2 linked regions of the Macaca fascicularis genome follow. Each later gene encodes a partner of the first gene's protein in a complex. Links are inferred from orthologs where the notes say so. Each region holds a gene or a part of one and is shown on either strand. Other genes may lie near its edges.

The links.
Region 2: the proteins of REV1 (region 1) and POLD3 are in contact, whole or in part, in an NMR structure (PDB 2N1G), measured with the Homo sapiens proteins. The link is inferred for Macaca fascicularis from reciprocal best matches to the Homo sapiens genes REV1 and POLD3. Residues at the interface, in NP_057400.1 of Homo sapiens: Asn1158, Leu1159, Ala1160, Gly1161, Leu1171, Leu1172, Glu1174, Trp1175, Ile1179, Met1183, Glu1184, Glu1185, Asp1186, Gln1189, Val1190; in NP_006582.1 of Homo sapiens: Gly232, Asn233, Met234, Met235, Ser236, Asn237, Phe238, Phe239, Gly240, Ala242, Ala243, Met244.

What each region holds. Positions count from the first base shown.
Region 1 is NC_088387.1:3,896,605-3,907,428, forward strand, and holds the end of REV1 (DNA repair protein REV1), read right to left. Parts: coding exon 10,743-10,824; intron 8,203-10,742; coding exon 8,100-8,202; intron 6,555-8,099; coding exon 6,389-6,554; intron 6,162-6,388; coding exon 5,968-6,161; intron 4,725-5,967; coding exon 4,491-4,724; intron 3,882-4,490; coding exon 3,761-3,881; intron 3,163-3,760; coding exon 2,945-3,162; intron 2,857-2,944; coding exon 2,700-2,856; intron 2,402-2,699; coding exon 2,299-2,401; intron 1,406-2,298; coding exon 1,294-1,405; 3' UTR 996-1,293; downstream 1-995. UniProt on the Homo sapiens protein: Deoxycytidyl transferase involved in DNA repair. Transfers a dCMP residue from dCTP to the 3'-end of a DNA primer in a template-dependent reaction.
Region 2 is NC_088388.1:73,486,131-73,496,954, reverse strand, and holds part of POLD3 (DNA polymerase delta subunit 3), read right to left. Parts: intron 7,201-10,824; coding exon 6,933-7,200; intron 5,746-6,932; coding exon 5,673-5,745; intron 752-5,672; coding exon 586-751; intron 1-585. UniProt on the Homo sapiens protein: Accessory component of both the DNA polymerase delta complex and the DNA polymerase zeta complex.

The sequences.
Region 1 (10,824 bases):
TCCCACAGTGATTTTTCCAGCATTCTTCTGCCATATGCCTTTAGGGCTTTTATAAAATAGAAAATTAGGCATTCTGGTATTTATCTGCTTTGTGTGAAACCACGGTGTAAAAGCACAGCTGGCTGCTTTTTACTGCTTGTGTAGTCATGAGTCCATTGTAATCATCACAATTCCAAACCAAACTACCAATAAAGAAAACAGACATCCACCAGCAAGCTCTGTTAGGCTTCCATGTTAGTGTAGCTTCTCTCCCACAAGCTGTCCTCCTAGGATAAGAATTATCTTACCAACTATCACACTACCTTGTATGCCAGCACCTGGTAACAGTCGAGATTTTTATACATTAATCTGGATCTGTTTTGTCTTAGAAAATTCCATTATACATACATCTCCTGGTATTTGGGCTTAGTGCTTCTAAATTGTTGCGGACACAACTTAATGATTCATTCATAGTAGTAATCTGTAGCTAGTTTTAGGGTTTTGTTGAAGTCAGTGTGGGGTGTTTGAGGAAAAAGTTCCAAATATCCACTAGCACAGAATTTTAAACTACATTTTTATTTTAAAGTTACGGCATAACATAGCATAAAAATATTTTATATCCGTTTGAAAATCTATACCGTTCTTTTTTATCATCAAAGTTTCTCAATGGCCAGTAGAGGCAAAGACAACATCACCTCTGATCTATGGGACATAATGTTCCCAAGAAAAAATCTTCAAGTGGGTGTGAGGGTGTTTCTAATTCAAAATATGTAGATTTCTCCACATGGAAGAAGTAAAGATTTTCTTAACATGCTCCTGTGTTCATGCTTGGAGACAAGAATAAGATGGTTTAGAGGCTTTACCCTTTCTTGGAACAAGTAGAATCCCGGTCTGAGACCTCTCAGGAATTTCAGAGCTTAGCAGTCTGGCCTGGAGGTTTTTCAGCCTTTTAGTATAATAAACAGTAGTTGCTTCCTAGAGTTGAGTTTTTAAGGATTCACAAAAAGGAGCCTGTACAAAATATACATACAGTTCTTTATTAAACAACTGTAAACACTTCACTGTAAAAATCCATAAAACTTTATAAACAAACATTTTGTAAATAGAATCTATGCTACAGTAAAAGAATTAACACAATTATTTACATGCAATACTGACAAATTTGGCACTTTTTGAAAAGAAATGTACAAAACACTTGCTTTAAAAGAAATTTAAAATTATAAAAACTCCAAGCATTACTATCATGCACTTTGCAAATACCTCACAAGCACTTATGGCACAGCGATCGGAGAGCACCAGGCTCCCTGGTAATATTTATGTAACTTTTAATGTGCTTCCGTACGTTTGTTGTAAAACCACCTGAACATTGTCAAGAATAAAGTCAAACGCCATATTCCAAACTGATTCCACCGATTGCTGCATCAACCTAAAGGTGGGGAGAGAAGAAATGCCATCAGGAAAAGTCCTTAAGACTATTCCTTTTTAAAAATAAAAATTGATTTTGGCGAAAAAAAAAAAAAAACAAAAAAAAACAACTCATGCCTGTAATCCCAGCACTTTGGGAGGCCGAGGTGGGCAGATCACCTGAGGTCGGGAGTTGGAGACTAGCTTGGCCAAACATGGTAAAACCCTGTCTCTATAGAAAATACAAAAATTAGCTGGGCGTAGTGGCACATGCCTATAATCCCAGCTACCCGAGAGGCTGAGGCAGGAGAATCACTGGAACCCAGGAGGCAGAGGCTGCAGTAAGCCAAGATGCCACCACTGCACTCCAGCCTGGGTGACAGAGTGAGACTTCATCTCAAAAAATAAAATCCTAGAACACTAAAAAAAAAAAAAAAAAAAAGCTTGTTTTGAGACAAGCTGTCAGGCTGGAGTGCAGTGGTACAATCATGGCTCACTGCAGCCTCTACCTCCCAAGTAACTGGGACCACAGGTGGGCACCAACCACGCCCAGGTTATTTTTTTTTTTTTTTTTTTGTATTTTTTTAGTAGAGATGGGGTTATGCCATTTTGGCCAGGCTGGTCTCAAAACAATGCACCCACCTCAGCCACCCGAAGTTAAGTGCTGTGATGACAGGCGTGAGCCACTGCGCCCAGCCCACTTCCTGTGGTCTTCTAATCACATGTAAGACTTGAGGGCGACACACTTGGAACCTCATTTACTACTTAGTCAACATGACAGAATAATGGATATCACTTTTTCATTAACCCTAATGAGGACAGTTTCCTAGAAAGTTTAAAACTTCTCAGTACACCCTCACTTAGCCATTGTGACATGCCATTTTTTCCCATTTGATAAAAGTGATGAATTACTACCTTTTCATGTATTTTATAACTAGATCCAGTTTTTCCAAATCTTTTTCTTCTATTAGATCAGTACAATATTTCACAACTTGGAGAATGTCTTCTTCCATTGGATCTAGGAAGGGGAAAAACTTCAAATGAGGACCAGTATATCTTTTTGAAGGAGAAAGTCAGAAATCTACACGGATAAAGGAAAACTGCCTTTCTACAAGTACGCCGCTAACAGCTATCAAAGGAATGGGCTTTGTTACTTGTCAAAGCAAGCCCCAGAATTTAAAAGATACTGGGGTAGCTGCTTTAAGCTTATTAGAGTTAGAGAAATGGGTTAAATCTACATAGTTTAGTCTGTTTATGTTCTCAAATCATGAGACGACTACATCTCAGCCTTGGGCCATCTAACAGGCCAAGCCAACCTGAAATTGTAGTTATCCATTCTCTGAGCAAGGTCTTCACATCATTGAATTCAACAGCTCCAGCTAGATTGGGTGCTGGAGGTCTCACACAGCCAGCTGGGTCAGACTGCAAACTAGAAAGGCCTGGCACACCTGAAGTAGAAGCAGAGAGTTCTTCCTGTTAAGAAAACAAAGGATAAAATTGCTATATTCACACATTATCCGGGTACATTAAGATCTCATAAAGGTCAAAGTTAAAGAATTACCAGGGGTTTCTCTGCAGGAGTTCCTTCATGTTTTAGAAACCCATCAATTAACTTCTGGGGACTGCCACAGGCCCCTGGCAGAGTTTTTGCAGGACTGTTTGGCAGCTTGTTTTTCAAAGGACTCTGAATCCTTTTTGGGGAACCGATGGTTTTTTTTTTCTTGTTTCTTTTCTTTTCTTTCACTGCTGCCTTTAGATGAAGTAAAGGATTCTTTGGCACTAAGAGAAGATAGATAGATACAAGATCCTCAACAAACTGATAGTATGGATAGTCTGGATGATAGTAGGTTGGGTTCTCTTTTCTCCTCCCGGATACAACAGGCTCCCTAGCCTACACCTCCCCTCCTGCCCCAAGTGAGAGGCAGTGAATGGCCATGGCCGAAAGTGCAGGCTCTCCAATTCTCTCTTTGCTTTGCCACTTACTAATTCGGCCTTTGGCATGTTGCTCATCTGTGATGGGTAGTAATAAATGTGGGTTTGGTGTTTGTGATGCATTTTGAACCTACATCCTTTGATTTATTCATCTCAAAGGACAACTAGCTGAACAAGTATTCAAGACACTTCTGGTAATGTCCTATCCCAACTTTTTAAAAAAGTAGTAAGTGGTGTGTTTAAATCCTGAAAGTACAGACACAAATCCAACTAAAATATGACAATATTTACTCATACTGTAAACTTCAGATATTATCCCAATATAAAGAGCTCTTAATGCAACGAACAGCTTAGACTTTGGCCATTATATACTGCAATAATTAGACAACAGTGACTCCATTACTCTTTATCTTCATTTTTGTTACATGCCACTTCCAAGGCTCACCAGATGCGCTGGCTGACTGCTGGTGGCTGCTGTTCTCGCCCTGCCTTTGTCTTTGATCATATGCTGCTTTCAGCTCCCTTTGAAGTTCAGCAGGTAGGGCAGCAAATACCTCAGGGTCCACCTAGTGGAAAAGACAAGGTCAAAGTCAAACCTGAACTCCCTTCTAGATGGTAGCTGGTTTAACTTTTTTCACAAAATAGATTTTGTTTTCAAATCTTACTTTTCTGATCTGTACGAATTCTTAACGGTTCCTTAATATCAAAGCTGATTAAATCTTCAAAATGGTTAGAGCAAGAACAAGGAATTAAGAGTACTAACTTAAAAAAAACCACTACAACAGCAGAACAACCTGGGCAAAATGCACTAGTAGAAAATGGGAAGCAAAACATGAAAACAGGAGCTCGGGTTGTTGCTGCCCCCATGTAGGATTACACATCTCCACTCTGCTGTATTCAAGTGTGGCCACTGATCTGTTTGCGCCAGATCAATGTGCTTCTGTCTTATCGTGCCCTCCCCCGTCTCTTCCCTCTGCTGGCTTCAGCAGGAGGCTGCTCGGAGTGTCTACATCCTGCAGACGCAGGAGATGGAGACAAGCCCACTCTTCCCTCCCTCCCCTTCCCAGTGGAAGTGGTGTCAGATACGGGAGAAAGGGAAGTGAGACAGGTCCTGAGCTGGAGCAGGGGGGTGAGAATACTGAAACTACAGCAGAGGGTTCCCATATTTAACTTACCTGTGAAAATGCTGGAAGGGCTATTACATTTATTCCTGTGTCACTGTTCGATTCTTGATGTTCTGGTATTTGCAACAAGACTGTCCCAACTGGTTGTGGCAAAATTCCTGTGTTACAGCCATTCACTGGTTCTTTCCTTTTGTCACCATGTGCCTCTGCTTGCTGGACAGCACAGACTTGCTCTACTTGTTCCCGGAGATCAGGTGGAAGTGCTTCTAAAACAGACTGATCCAGCTATAAAATGCCAAACATATGAGTTTGAAGTTTATTAAAGCATGCTCAGAGAGGAGGTGTTTGGGAGTTAACATGCCACTTTCCATTTCAATTTGAACACTGGATAATCAATGTAAGGTACAGACAGACCATCAGGCTAGGAAAGCCACCCCTAAATCAGCACATTTTTGGAACGTCTTGGCCTTTTGTCATTGAAGCCTGAAGTATGTGTAGTCTGGAGAAAAGTGTATATACTACTGGCCACTACCATATGACCAGGTAAGTCCAAATATACTCACAGAATGTCCTGCAATTGGGGCCAACAGATATGGATACCTTGGTGAAGCTCAAATTAGATCCCACCCCTGGGGAGGGGTGAAGGCCTGAGGCACATGTTAAAATTCTGGACAGGTTAACAGTCCTGAGTCAAAAGTTCACCTCTCAGATGAGAGACTGCCCAAAAATACAGATAATTCTACTCTGAGAGCAGCACACTGGAAGAAAGGGTTTCTAGAAGCTGAATTTTCTCTAACTTGCAGGACGGAGCCCACTGTTCCTTTGACCAGGGCCTCCCTCCATCTGTCCATGCACATCTGGCCCTCTGCAAACATACAATCCCGTCAACTTGGGTAGGCCAATCTTACCTGCCAGGAGTAACTAATTGTGGGTATCTGTCACCATACAAGCATATCAGCATTGCCCCTTCCCCTAGTTTTACAGCCAGTATGTAACATCTCCTGCCTCCTTCCATGCAGGGGGAGCGGGGGCACAAATGAACTTGCCCAATATAGCTTAAGGTGCTACCTTACTTTCAAGGACCAAAGGATGCCAGCAGCATATCACATGTACAGCCCACACAAGCTGAATTAAACCATCCAAAACTCCAGAGACCTGTTTGCAAATACTGCAAAAGCCCTTTGACATAAGGCCTCTACTTCACCACTAATCACCAAAGCTGCCTTGCTGAATACAGTAAGTCTACATGATGACCACTGTCACAGACAATGGCAGTCCACAGGAGGACTGCCTTTCAGCTATGCTTTACAACTTGCAAGAGTGGCAAATCTTTGCAAAAGCACTTTCATTCAACCCAATTATTGCTTATTTAGAATCCAACATCATGATCTACCCGAACAAGTGACCCATTCTCCCTTTCTTGGTTAAATGAAGAAATAAAAATGCCATTTTCATTTGTAAACTTATATTTTTGTACTTATATTTAAGAGTATAAAATGTACTTATATTTAGGACTATAAAAATGTACCTGGGAAGGTGACGGGACCTCTATACTCAGGTTAAGTCTTGACTGCACACTGACAGGAGAATGCAGACCGTTCCATTTCCCTGAAGACTCGGCCTTGTTAGTATCAGGACTGGTCGGCAGATGTGCGGGAAAAGGTGGCAAAGTGCAAGTTCTAGAAGCAGATGATATTTCCAGATCCACAGCAGTCCGAAATACTACGAAGAGAAAATACATAAAATAGCCTCTTCAGATCATCGGGCAGGGCCTTTAATCCCTGATTTCCTCTGTCCATTACAAATAAAAAAACTTTATTATTGATACATCATAATGAAGAATATAATTTTTTTAAATCACATAAAGCTGTGTCAAGTTTAAAACCAACTGCCGTCTTTCCAAGGACATAAGCAGCACCTAAACGAGAACCCCACTGATGACCACCAACCTTCTTTGTGCTCCTCTTCTGTGGATTTCTTAGCTTTCTGAACTTGGAAGATATCACGGACAGAGTATGACCCACCAGGAAAGTGGCTCGACTGAACTGATGGGCGACTGGGACATGTGGAAGGGTTCAGATTAGTTGGAACCAACTGATTCACGTGAATCCCAACCTAGAACCCAGAATAAAGAGTATGCTTCCAGGAAAACTAAAGTAAAATATGAATTCAGCTAAGCAAAATCCTCAGCAAATCCTTTTCACTACCTCCTAGATCCTGTTTCTAGAATAAAGGTAAATGAAAGTATTCAAACAACAGCATTCTATATGAGTTATTACAAAAACAGTTTCTAGACTAGCTAGTGAGTGGTCATTCATCTCAAACTTCAGAGTATCCAATTCTCCCAAAATATACCAAAACGTCTTTAAAATCAGAAAATCCAAACAAGTGGAATACTGTATTTCACTGATGTTCTGGTCAACTAAGGTTTTAAATTAGGATAAAAAAAAAATTAAGAGAGGACAGGCTACTTGGAAACTTAACTATTTTTATCTTTTTAAAATGAAATACTTCTCAAAAAATACTGGTGGGACTGGTGAACAGCAGGCACACCACAGACCCCTCTATAAAGTGCCACTGTAACAGTATTTCAGGGAGAAATTACAATTATGGCCGGCTTAGTGACTAATCCTTCAACAAAGTCCACAATCAAGCCAGAACAACCCTTAACTTACACACGCACACAATAAACTAAACCTACAAAGGTTCTTTTTTTTTTTTTCCTCTTTTGAGACACAGCCTCATTGTGTCACCCAGGCTGGAGTGCAATGGCATGATCTTGGCTCATGCAAGCTCTGTCTCTTGGGTTCAAGTGATTCTCCTGCCTCAGCCTCCCGAGTAGATGGGACTATAACAGCATGTACCACAACACCCGGCTAATTTTTGTATTTTTAGTAGAGATGGGGGCCAGACACAGTGGCTCATGCCTGTAATCCCAACACTTTGAGAGGCCGAAGCGGGCGGATCACCTGAGGTCAGGAGTTTGAGACCAGCCTGGCCAACATGGTGAAACTTCGTCTCTAAAAATACAAAAGGGCGTGGTAGCGGGTGCCTGTACCCACAGCTACTCGGGAGACTGAGGAAGGAGAACTGCTTGAACCCAGGAGGTGGAGGTTGCAGTGAGCTGAGATCGCGTCACTGTACTCCAGCCTGGGCAACAGGGCAAAAACTCCGTCTCAAAAAAAAAAAAAAAAAAACCCACACAAAAAATCTATGGTTTTGACATTTTGATGCCTCTTGCCTGTTTCAAAGGCATCTTGTTGTGCCTGTGGTTTCACTCCCTTCTAGGTCATCATATGGCAGACAGCAGAGTATGTTTCTGATTAAAAAGGAACTTAAAGGCACAAAATTTATGTATTCATACTCCTCAGTCATATCTACTTCTAGGAAACAAGAACAGGGAGGACATGTATATTAGCCCCTGGTTAATTAGGGATACCTTGGAAAAGCACAGTAAGAATCTGAGAAAATTATTCTAAAATGAAGAAGATCAAAATGGAGAAAGTCAAGAATTTTTGTTTCTCTTTTCCTTATATCACAAAGCAGCTAAAGACCTACATATAAAGTCCCTATATGCCAGCAATAACCATTCTGAGAGCAAGCCTCAAATGACACAAAAATTACAGAAAGTCAGAATTTACAATGTTACTATACACTTACCCCTCTCATGTCTGATATATTTAGTTTCATTGTATGAAACATGTTTAGCATCGCCTTTCCAATTATTTTTGCATTATCTGTTGCCTGGTCAAGAGTTACAGTCCTGTAAGTGATAGAATTATACAACAAAAGCTTCATTCCATATGTATTCACTAGTACTAAAGTAGTATGGAACGGTTTAAAAGAGTTACAGAAAAGTTGTAAACAGTTACAAAGATTATAAAAGTGAATGCCACAGTCCCCCTTCCAGGAAGCCAGAAATACCAAATTAGTTACACTGGCAAAGAAGGGGGAAAGGAAAATTATGGAACACTGGAACTTCAAGGTAATAACGATAACGGACACCTGGGTCAACTACAAATCAGTTGAGAAATTTAGAAAAAGGCATAATTTAGCTAACACATGCACAAATGAATACATATTTTCCAGCTAAAGCACAAATGAATGGTAAACACAATGTTCTTGATTCCAAGAGAAGTTTTAGGTTCCAAGATTATGTATGCTGAGGTACAGCAAATATTCAGAAGAGAAAGATGAATTCTCGGTATGTTGTTTCTTGACTCTCCTTCGTGTTTACAGTAAAGCCAATAAACAATTCTTAGATCTTTAAGAACTCTTGAGAGAGGACCAAATGATCCGTCAGCATTACTTGGTCCCAAAGATGTGATGACCTCACCCACCATTTCCTTCAGAGCTGTTTGAGCTTCTCTGGCATGAGCAGGGTGTCCCATTACAAACAGAATTACTCACTCAGTAACAGATCACAAATTACTACCAGTTCTCTTTCCAAAGGAAAGTTATTTCGTGTTTTAGATTAATGAACAAATGAAGTTCCAGGCCTTTAAACAAGAAATAGTCCCAGAAAAAAAATACTATAAATTGAATCTGATTTTCCCATAGAAATGTTTAAGAAGACAATCGCATTACTTCATCTGCTTATAGAAATGACCACTAAAAACTGGGCACAGTGGCTTACACCTGTAATCCCAAAACGTTGGGAGGTCAAGGCAAAAGGATTGTTCAAGGCCAGGCCTGGGCAACAGGGCAAGATCCTATCTCTACATAAATAAGTTTTTAAATAAATAAATGACCACTATTTACTATTTGAGATACATGTATATATCGTAACACTTCAGTAAATATAATTCAAGATAACCAACTGATAAAAAATGTATTTCATAAATCATGTTGTCTAATTGTAATTTGTAATTCCTGCTTTCATGGTAACTTGGGAGTTTCTCTGTTTAAGAGCCGTCATCTCATGACTTAGCAATATCATCATATACATGAATGCACCATGTATGGTTGGCATGAGCTAATCTTCAATGAAACTGTACTTCATAGTTCCTTATAAGTAGCTTTCAAAAGTGTCAAAAGCCTCAAAACTTTGGTTTCACAGATGACATACAGTCTAACATAAAATGACACATAAAACCACATATCTTCATATTGGTCACAAATCTTTCATGAAGTTTAATATTAAGTAGTTGGCCCTGACATAAAAAACGAGGGTTTCAGTCCAGGTACATTGGCTCACACCTGTAATCCGAACACTATGGAAAGCTGAGGTGGGCGGATCATTTGAAGTCAAGAGTTGAAGATCAGCCTTGCCAACATAGTGAAACCCTATGTCTACTGAAAATACAAAAATTCGCTGGGCATGGTGGCATGCCCCGTAATCCCAGCTACCCAAGAGGCTGAGACAGGAGGATCGCTTGAACCCAGGAGGCGGAAGTTGCAGTGAGATCAGATCGCGCCACTGCCCTCAGGCCTGGGTGACAGAGTCAGAATCCATCTCAACAGAAACAAAAACAAAAAAACCCAGGTTTTTAAATGCTTTCACCAGTTTTCAGACATTACAGTGATTCACTCATCTTTTTACCAATTACATTTATACACCTATGTAAATGGAATTGCTCTCCTTCACCAGCATTTTTCTAGCTACTATTAGCCTGCCTTTGTGTATCGTTTTTTTTTTTGAGACAAAATCTCACTCTTGCCCAGGCTGGAGTGCATTGGCACAATCTTGGCTCACTGCAACCTCTGCCTCCTGGGTTCAAGCGATCCTCCTGCCCCAGCCTCCTGAGTAGCTGGGACTACAGCCGAATGCCACCAGGTCCGGCTAATTTTTGTACTTTTAATGGAAATGGAGTTTCACCATGTTGGCCAGGCTGGTCTCAAACTCCTGGCCTCAAGTAATCCAGCTGCCTTGGCCTCCCAAAGTGCTGGGATTACAGGCATGAGCCACCACACCCGGTCTGTATCACTGTTTTTAGGAACTACACTGAAATTTCCCTCAGGAAAAAAGTTTCACCAAGTCCAAAAATTACAGCAGTCCCTTTGCTCTGCAGCCTTGCCCTTTCTTTCTGTCCATGCAGTAAAGTTAACAGCCCAAAGATGCCAAGCAAAGGCTGCCAAGGTCTGGAATGCTGTCAAACCAACCTCCTGTGTGTGGGCCTGGCTGAAACCAAGTGTATTAACCTAAGCTGAATGCCTTAGGCTGATGCCTGCTTCTACAGAATACCAGATAACATGGGCTTACAGGTCTTTATTCAAACTCCTCCTTGGTTTTCTTCATTTTCTATTACTTACACAATTTGTACTGAAATATAATTACCAATATCATTTTTGAGGTGAGCTTACCTGGCAACGTTATCACAAATTCCATGGCCTCCAAATTTTGCAGTTTCTATAGGAGCCCCGGCCTTTCGTACCATGATTTTGA
Region 2 (10,824 bases), on another chromosome or scaffold:
ATCCCAACCTTGCCACAAAAGTCGTCTTTCTAGGCCTATCAGTCTTGACAGTGTCCTTTAGAATTTCTTTCAACAGACTAATTCTACCAACTATGAGGTAGTGTCTCCAATTCCTGGATCTAGTTTTAATAGCTTATGTGCTTTTTATTTTCTTTTCTAATTACATTTTACCACTTGAAAAATAAACTCATTGATACAAAAAGAAAACAAAGAACTTTTTCTCTTAAATTTGACTGGAAACAGTAACCCTTCATTTGGCAAATTGAAGTGAAACACACACACACACAATTAGACACACTTATGCCATGTCCACAAATTTAAAACAAAAACTAACAATCAATTTAGATCAATAAGGCCAAAAAAATGACTTTGGTCCTTAAATCATCCAAACTGGCTGATTCCACAGTTCTACTCCACTAGATAAGCTAGTGGGCTTCTCTTTCCATTTTGGTTGTATAGTTGTATCGGTAAGGCATTAAGTGGGATTTAGTACTTAACTGAAAACTGCCTGCTGTCAATAAGCCCAAAGAGACCTTCTCACCCCCAGTAGAGACTCTTCCCCAACAAGCAACAACATTTTCCTACCTTTTTTTTTCCTTCTGCAGCACCTTAACAGGCTCTGCTTTTTTGCTGGATTTTTTCAGGCCTGCAGGAGCTGCCAGCTTTGGTTCAGTGACAGATACTGTAGGCTGCTCCACTATTTTTTCTTCTTTCACTGCTTGTTCTGAGTCCAAATTGACTTTAAGTTTATCTATAAATAGAGTATAGCAGACGACATATGACCCCATCATGCAATATTAATACATCATCCTTTTGACAGTCTACCATGTGCCAGGTAATATGTTAGGAGCAGGGGCAAAAAGGAGCTCATGGACTATTTAGAAAACATTCCTCCTTTCCAACTACCACTCTAACTGTAACTTCTCATTTCTGCCTCCTGCTAATCCCTCATTGTATCACAGCCCCCAGGCTAAATGATAGTAAAAGCAAGGCTTAGAAAAAACATATACAACTTTATGAGGTATCATCTTTTTCAGATGAGGAAAATCAATAATCAGAAGGATTACAAGATGTTTCCCAACAATACACAGTTTACAAATGGTGACAACGATTTGTAGCCAAGACCTTTACTTTCTATATATTCTATCTTTTAATGCCTGGATACCCTTAATATCTCACTACTACCTTAATGATAAAAGTTAAAGACATTTTGGATTCAAAGAAGTTTGGTTCAAACCCCGCTTCACTCTGGGCAAGTTATTTTATCTAAAAGTCAGTCTTTTCTACACCTGGGATAATAGTTACAAGATTATTATAAGGACTAAAAGAGATCAGTATTGGTTAAATGATTTATCCAAGGTAACACTGACAGAAAAGGTAAGAGTTGGGATTTGAACAGAAGTCAGTTTAACTCCTCAAAGTCCTTAACCCTTTTCCTACACCGAGCTGAAGAATGACTACTGTGCAACAGGGAGAACTAAGAAATGCAAAAAGGCCTCACCATCTGAGGAACTACAGAAGCATGTCATCTAGCCTTCACACTGTACTTAGTGATAGCTTTTCACAAGTAAAGTCACAAAATACTATTGGAAAGCTGTCAATAGCTGGAGGCGCTTCAATAAGTAGTTTTGGTTATATGTTGTTATAATAGCTTAAACCTTCTACAGTGTAGAAAAAACTAGTATCATAGTCTTGGCTATTATGCATAGCTTAGTATAATAATTTATAAATAATGTGTATTATTTGAAGGTGTAGCTGATGGACCAAAGTGTAAAATGTAATCTATTTACACTTTTATTTTTCCTGAAGACTTGAATAGAAAATGCGAACGGTGGAATCCACCTTTCCAATGATGGCATACTCTTGCATTTTCAACTGTTGTTCTCAAGTATCAGTGCCTCTCAAATATCCCAAATTGTATAAGAGAGTAAACATGCATCTCCAGGGCTCTAGGGGTCAACAGCCAATCCAAAAAATACAGTACACTGGAGTCACATGTGTAGCTTTAAAATTTATGCAAAATTTTCAATCTATCACATAAATTATACTGTTTTAATAGCAATTGTTTTAAAAATGGCATCATTAGGAGAAAAAACCTCCAAACACTTCCTACCTACCTTATGTATTAAGGAAAGCGAGGCTACTGCATTGAGTTTACCAATTACAGAAAACCGATCTCAATTAAAATACCACTGATCAAACATTAGATTCAGCATCCAGAGTTTCTTCTCTCTGTCTTGGTTTCACAGAATTTTGAGAACTCTAACTTAAACATATATGCAGCTACCAATAGCCAATTAACTGGTAAAGAGGTAGTTCAATGCAACAATTTAAGGCGATTATTAAGGAAAATTTAATGACATTTTGTTACCTGAATGATCAAGTCACCTATTTTCTAGCTGATTAAAAGCATTTCCTTCTTATACTCAAGAAAACATGAAACCTTTTCAAGCAAATAAAGATAACCAATTATGACCTTTAAATTTTGTAATCAATGCTGAATTTTATCACATATAAAGCATTACTTTTAAAAATTGAGATATAATTCACATACCATAAAATTCATCACTTTACATTCAGTGGGTTTTGGTTGTATATCCACCATAACTGTCCAGTTTTAGAGCATTTTCATCACCCCAAAAAGAAACCCTGAACCCATTAGCATTCCTCCTTGACCCCAGTCCAGTCCCTGACAACCAATCTTCCTCTCCTCTCCTCTCCTTCCTCTTTCTCTCTTTTTTTTTTTTTTTTTTTTTTTGAGACAGAGTCTCACTCTGTTGCCCAGGCTGGAGTGCAGTGCAGCGATCTTGGCTCACTGCAAGCTCTGTCTGCCAGGTTCACGCCATCCTCCTGCCTCAGCCTCCCGAGTAGCTGGGACTACAGGTGCCTGCCACCATGCCCGGCTAATTTTTTGTATTTTTTTAGTAGAGACGGATTTTTACCGTGTTAACCAGGATGGTCTCGATCTCCTGACCTCATGATCCGCCCGCCTCAGCCTCCCAAAGTGCTGGGATTACAGGCTTGAGCCACCACGCCCGGCCCCTACTGTCTCTATAGACTTGCCTATTCTGGATGTTTCATACAAATGAAATCATATATGATCTTTTCTATCTGGCTTATTTCACTTAATATTTCAAGGTTCATCCATGTATATCACATATCAATCTGTACTTCATTACTTTTTATAGCTGAATAACATTTCATTGTCTGGATATACCACCTTTGTTTATCCATTCATCAGATGACAGACTTGGACTGTTTCAATTTTTGGCTATTACGAAGAATGCTGCTATGAACATCTATGTACAAGTTTTTGTGTGGACATACAGTTTTAATTCCCTTGAGTAGATATCTAGGAGAGGAACTGCTGCTCTATGTTTAACTTTTAGAAGTACTGCCATATCATTTTCCAAAGTGAGTACACATCATTTTACATTCCCCACAGCAGAACGTGAGGGTTCAATTTCTCCATATCCTTGGCAACACTTGTTACTGTCCAATATTAAGTTTACATGGTTCAAGTCCCCACAATGAACTCTCTTCATCCAATTCTCAAGCTTCATTTTCATTGTAATGATCTTGTCATGTGTCAAATACAATAAAAAAGTCCTAATTTTACTCTGAACATTCAGCCTTGAAGAAATGTCTGTTAAATAAATTAACTTTGTAAGCAATTCTTTTTTTTACATTAATATTTAATAGTATTTTATTTTATCCAGGTTTTCCCCCTCACTGAATTACATGCCATTATAACACCTTATTACTCCTACCTAGCAATTACAATCATCCACTTTTTTTTTTTTTTAGGAATGGGGTCTTGCTATATTTTTGGCTGGATTTGAATTCATGGGCTCAAGCAAATCTCCTGCCTCGGTCTCCCGAGTAGCTGGGATTATAGGCATGTACCACCATGCCTGGCTTTTTTTCCATATTTATTTGTCCATCTCTCTCAGTAGAGTATAAGGACTTGAGGCAGGGACCTTGTCTTTTTCTCTATTGTATCACCAGTGCATAACAATGCCAAGCATATAGCAGGTGCTTGATCTATTTGCTAACTAAACACATGACTTAAATAAGTACACTTCTGTATAGTTTGATTTTTTTAAACAATTCACAATCACATATTTTATGTATTTTAAAAATAAGAATTTTAAAATTCACTGGGTTTTTAAGGTTACAAATGCATTTAAAAAAAAGCAACCAACAAAAAGATGGGTCTCATCAAAGTTGCCAAGAAACCATGATCTGATTGGGTACAGTGGCCCATACCAGCTAGGCAGGTCAGTGACAGCATGATGCTTTAACACAGCAGTCCCCAACCTTTTTGGCACCAGGGACCAGTTTCATGGTAGACAATTTTTCCATAGGCAGGGGTGGTGGTGGGCAGCAGCGTAGGGGTGGTTTCAGGATGAAACTGTTCCACCTCAGATCATCAGGCATTAGATTCTCATAAGGAGCCCGCAACCTAGATCCCTCACATGCACAGTTCACAAAAGGGTTCGCAATCCTATAAGAATCTAATGCCACCACTGATCTGACAGGAGGTGGAGTTCAGGCATAATAATGCTTGCTCATTTGCTGCTCACCTCCTGTGCAAACCAGTCCCCAACAGGCCCCGGACTGCTACCCATCAGTGGCCTGTGGGTTGGGGACCTGTTTTAACGGAAGTAGGAATCATTCCCTGTACACCAACTGTGCCTGCAGTAATACAACAATGCTTCCCAGAAACCTTTAAGTATCACATTTTCCATTCACTTTTCTAGTTACCCATTCTGAGCTGCAAGAACACAAAAATGTTCTCTGACAGCTTTTATAGCAAACACAAAAACTGTCACGCTTACATAAGCAGAATATGAAAAAAAATTTAGCCATCATGGAAAGGCAGAATTTTGACTAATTTTGCTTGCATAGGCATGTAACAAAATGCCTCCTTGAAAAATCTTTGTAAAACTGATGCTCCAAGAAAGTGTGCCATAATTATCCTGTGGCTCCTGCATTCTTCCTGGTATTCTACCACATACTCTCAGGGGATGTACACTTGATATGAGAAGTATGAAAATATGTGACTACTGGTTCTTTCCATACAGAAGAATTCTTACTCAAGTACCTTTTTAAAAATAAAGAAGATTTTTGCTTTCTCAAAAAAAGATTTTTAAATGTCCATTATGACTCGGGCCCTTCTAATTCACACTGGAAGTCTAATTCATTACTGTAAGTAATCTGCAAAAAATAACCAAAGAAAGGCAAAATATTTGCTTTTGTGGACCCTTGAGAGATAGAAGAAATAAAGGTCACACCAGGCAAACTGACTCTAGCATCCATGTTATTAACCTCAATACTATACTGCGTAGCCAGGCAGCCTCCCTTTTATTTTAATCACCCATTTTCAAGGGCCCTATGAAGGAAATAGTTCATTATCTTTTCAAGGCGGGAAGTTAAACCAGGAATAATAAACTGCTCTCGAAGAGATCTCAACTGAGCCTAACTCACCCATAAAGTTCCAGCTAAGTTACTTTCATCAATATATTGGGCAGTACACTGTAAATTTATGTTAGGATGCAGGTAGTCTCCTGGACAGGCAAAAACTAAACAAAGTAACTTTTACTTCCGGTATAATATGTCATTACATTAACATTCATTCATTAGTCAAAGTAAGGTAAGAACATGCTTACTCATAGCAGCTTTTCCAAAAAAGTTGCTCATCATATTCCCTTTCCCTGGGGCCTTGTTGCCTGCTGAAGATGCCTACAAGCACAGAAAACACGTATGATTTTTTGCTAGCATTTAGGCTGTTCATGAAGTAGCAGTCTCAAACAATCTTTTCTATAGCACACTGCTGCGATAGTATAGTCTCTATATAATAGTGCCAAAATGCAGAGGCGTTAGATATAAGAACAAATCTAGAACAATAATCCACACCAGATAGTAACTGGTGTTAATCTCTAAAGCTTAGTTTCTTATAGATCTTATAAAATTAAGTACCCATGGATATGTCTAAACTTTTCTTGAGCACATTTAAAAACTATTTAATTTGACAGAATTAAAAAAGATCAGAGGCAGTATGTACACAAAGCGGGAAAACCTAAAACATTACATTTTTAATCATCAGAAGTAGATCTGAATTCCTGGTTCCCACCGTTTAGTAGCAATATGAGCTCCAGGCAAATTACTTAAGTCTAGGTTTCAGTTTCACCATATGTGAAAGGGAAATAGTTAATACCTCCCTCACAGAACTGATAAGAGGATTTGAACAAAGACCAAACTATTGGCACACAGCTGAAATTCAATAAACATTATTGTTTTCCTCCATCCTTCTTCCCCAAGACAGACACTTGAAAATGACAGTGATCTGAATTGAATACACTTGACACTTGAAAATGACAGTGATAATAATAGTAACAACAATAATTATACTTTTCTGGATTTTTAAAATAGTATTGGAATGATACTTTTCTTAAGTCAATGCCCTTAAGTTAGTTCAGATGACTGAACAATAAAAATCTAAGGGAAGCAAATAAAGCAAAAACAAAACAAAAAAACCCACATAAAGTATAATAAGAATGGGAAATACACTAGGAAGGAAGGTATATATTGCAAAGCCCAGAACATAAGATATTCCTCAGAATGACATATTGCAAATAAACATTTTTTTGAATGTTAACAATTTTAGAGGTGTTTTCACATGTTTTCATCTGGGTCTCACAACAATCTCGTTTGCAAAGGAAATCCAAGGCTTGGTGAGAATCATTATCAAAAGCAAAAGAACTCTTTCAGGTAACAGTATCAAGTATGAAAGCGTTCAAACTAAAGTAGAAAAATCAGAACTGAGTATCAGAACCTTACATAAATAAACTACTACCACTGGGACCATTAATGCTTTTCTAGTTACCCACTCTGAGCTGTAATGAAGGGTATCTTCAAAGAAGACTTACATTTGTTACTTCCTTAGCCTCTGTTTTAGCTTCCTTGTTGGTTTCTTGGGTTTTAGCAGTAGCTTTGGAGGCAAACATTCCCATAATTCCTTTGGGCTGCTGGGAAACCTGCTTGGATGCAGGTGGGCCATGACCATTGGTGGTCAGCTCATTGTTGGCTTGTGTCTCACTTGACATGTGAAGATGTGACTGCTCAAACTTTTTGGAAGATGAAGAAGATTCAGCAGGAGATCTAGGGACTGCAGCTGCACACTGTATAGCACTAAATCTAGGGACAGAAATGTTACATTAAGTTAATGTCAGCATATGCATTCTTGGGTGGTTCAACAAAAAAAAGAGAAAGAAAAAAAAACTAATGTCAGTATACAACCTTATTTTCAAATTCTTGCTTCTTCCACACAATACTTAACTCTAATATTGTTTAAAATCAACTTTAGAAAAATGTTGTATGAAACTCTCTATTACATAAAGAAACAAATACTAGAGAGAAGTGAGTCACTTGTACTAGGTCATACATCTAGTTAGTAACAGACAGGGTTGGAATTAGGTGCCTTCTACCACCATTAATTGAATATTCTTGCTTTTTTTGAAAAAAGTATCCTAATTCAAAAAAGAATGCAACCAACAATAATAAAAGACGCAGTAATTTCATTATCCTTGGGAAATGAAATAGCCCTTGTTTTTAAAGACCTTCCTCTGATAGGGCTAGATTTGCAATAAATATTGACTGAATCAAAACTAAGCTTTAAATATTAACAAATTTCCTGGCAACGCTCTTGGCCAGAGTAAATCATGCTGCAGGGTTGGGTGTACTGGCTCATGCTTGTAATCCCAGAGGTTTGGGAACCTGAGGTAGGCAGATCGTGTAAGTCTAGGAATTTAAGACGGCCTGGGCAACATGGTGAAACTTTGTTTCTACAAAAAACACAAAAATTAGTTGGGTGTGGTGGCACACGCCTATAGCCCTGATTACTCGGGAGGCCAAGGTAGGAGGATCACCTGAATTCAGGAGGTCCAGGTTGCACTGAGCCATAATCTCATCACTCAACTCCAGTCTAGGGAACAGAGTGAGACGCTGTCTCAAAATAAATAAACAAATCATGCTTTAAAACAAGTAAAAGGCTGGGTGTGGTGGCTCATGCCTGTAATCCCAACATTTTGGGAGGCCGAGGCAGGTGGATCATGAGGTCAGGAGTTCAAGACCAGCCTGGCACACGGCAAAACCCTGTCTTTACTGAAAATACAAAAGTTAGCTGGGCATGGTGGCACGTGCCTGTAATCCCAGCTACTCAGGAGGCTGAGGCAGGAGAATTGCTTGAACCTGGGAGGCAGAGGTTACAGTGAGCCAAGATCACACCACTGCACTCCAGCCTGGGTGACAGAGTGAGACTCTGTCTCAAAACAAAAAACAAAAAAAAGAAAAATAGGAGAAGCTGGGAGCAGAGCCACTGGCTCCAATAACCTATAGTCCTTGACAGCCATTTGTTAATAATTTCTAATAATACTAACGGCACCAGACAAGTAAGTATGCCCAAGGCCAAGAGAAGAAAATTGGTGGAACAGCTTGCGTGGCATATTAAAGGGAACATACATCTCTTCTCTAATCATTATAGAAGTGCCGTTTCACACAAATCCATAATGTAACATTCCACATTGTGAATAGGTAATTAATTTAGCCTTCTCACAGGATTATTTTCTTTGTTAGAAAAAGCAAAGTTCCCCAGCTTTTTCTAACAAAGAAAAATATTTTATTTTTCCCAGTCTTGCTTATTGAGCATACGTAAGAACTCCTTGAAGTCTTATTTATCTTTTTTATTTCAGGCACCCAGCTCAAGACCTGGCACAGAAAAGTGCTAGAAACAACATGTTGAAAGAATGACTAAGTGAATGAAAGTGAGGCTTCTGGCTTCTCTCCCTTCTTTAGTGTATCACCTTCAACTTGGGGTGGGAGATTTCTAAACTATGTGGTGATAGCAATTATCTTAAAGATCAACCAGGCACAACTTCGAGATTAACTGCTAGAACACCTGGTCTAATGAAAAAAAAAAAGAAAATCCCTGATACATCATTTCATCTCAGAAGTAACTTTAGACTGGACAGCCCCAAAGCTAGAGTCAAAAGCTCCAAAAATCTTCCACTGATTTATTATGGTCTTCATCAGAAAACTCTGTATTTACACACATCTTTTGTGCATCAGAGTTAAGAACAGATGGAAATCATTTGCTTTCACCCACTGCTCTTCCTCTCTGGCCTTGCAGTACTTCCACATACAAGGAAAAGGGTAATGTTTTATTTCACTGTCAATGTCTGAAGTTGGCGTTGAAACAACTCTTTCTCCTTCTGGTTTGAATTCCACACCTTAGGGTCAGGACCAGGAATTGGCAATGAGGAAGAGACCGAGTTAGGCTGGGAGTATGTCTGATGACAAGAGATCTCTGGTCAATCCTAAAATTTCAACTTTCTTCATGTCACGGCACTTAAAACACACGAAATCATGAGTCAGATCTCAGTTGGCCCATAATTCTCAGGACCAAATACAAACTCATTTGTTGGAGATAAATTCACTTTTCTACTGAGGATACTTTAAGTAATTAGGTAAAGTTTCACTGAAGTGCTTCCTATTACCACATTTCTACTTGCCATGTTTATTTTAGTGGGCCCTGGCAGATTTCATTTTGAACTTTTGCGTCACGTTTATTCTTGTTTGCTTACTTGCTAGATACAACAAAGGAACTGATTTTTAGAGCCTGGAATACCCAACTAGATTTTAAAATTTTTTGAAATCTAGTAATATATTTCAAATAAACTTATCAGGGTGTTAATATTTTCTTGAAATCCTTCCCTAAAAGACAAGAGACTTGTAAATTATTACTCTTTGGCTATACATTTGTTTATTTAATAAATATTTGTATACTTATGCTCAAGGTTTTGAGCTAAAGAAAAAAAAGAACTAATGTCTATCACTAATTCACTCAATAACTACTTATTAGTGTGCCAGGCACTATTTTGGGTATATAGTTAACAACTGAGACACGATCCCTATTCTCATGGAACTTACAGAAACTATGGCAATTCTGTCTCTCTCTCTCCCTGAGGACCCATCTTTATCAGTCATCCCACCTCCCCAGGATTTTCAGCCTTTTCTTCTCTATAGCACCCTCCTAACAATCCAAGTTCAAGTCATTCTCAACTTTAGAAACGTATATATCCTTCCCGTCTCAATCCCTCCTTAGCTACCACCCTCTTTTCTGCTTTGCAGTCAAATCTCCTGGAAAGATCTGTCCATATTTGCTGTCTCACTTCCTGTGTTCCCATTTACTTAGCTCACCAGAATCTGGTCACTCCACTGAAAATGCTCTTACCAAGGCTATCACTAAATTCCATGGATAATTTTCACTTTCTAACTTACTTGGCTTCTCAGCAACGTTTAACATTGTTGACTGGTCCCTCCTACTTGAATCTCTTTCCTTAGGGGCTAAAACCCCATATACTCTTATCTCTGATGGCTCCCTCTTGAGCCCCCCTTTTTCTGTTCTTCCCTTGAAAAGCAACTATCATTAAATAGTGCTTACTATGTGCCAAGTGCTATTCTAAGTGCTTAACATATAATAGTCCATTTAATCCTCTACAACCCTATTTGGCTGGTACTATTATCAGCTTTACTGACAAGAAAATTGAGGCACCGAGAAGTTAAATAATTTGCCCAAGGTCACGCAGCTAGTAATTTGGCCTAGAGTTTTACTTTCTGCCCTTCTTTCATTCTATACATTCTCTCTGCATAACTATCTACTACTATGGCCCAGTTACTATTCTTTCTGATTCCAAAATCTCTCTTTAACCCAGATTTCTCTCCTTAGCTCTAGATTCACCTATCTTTTGCGATGGACATCCT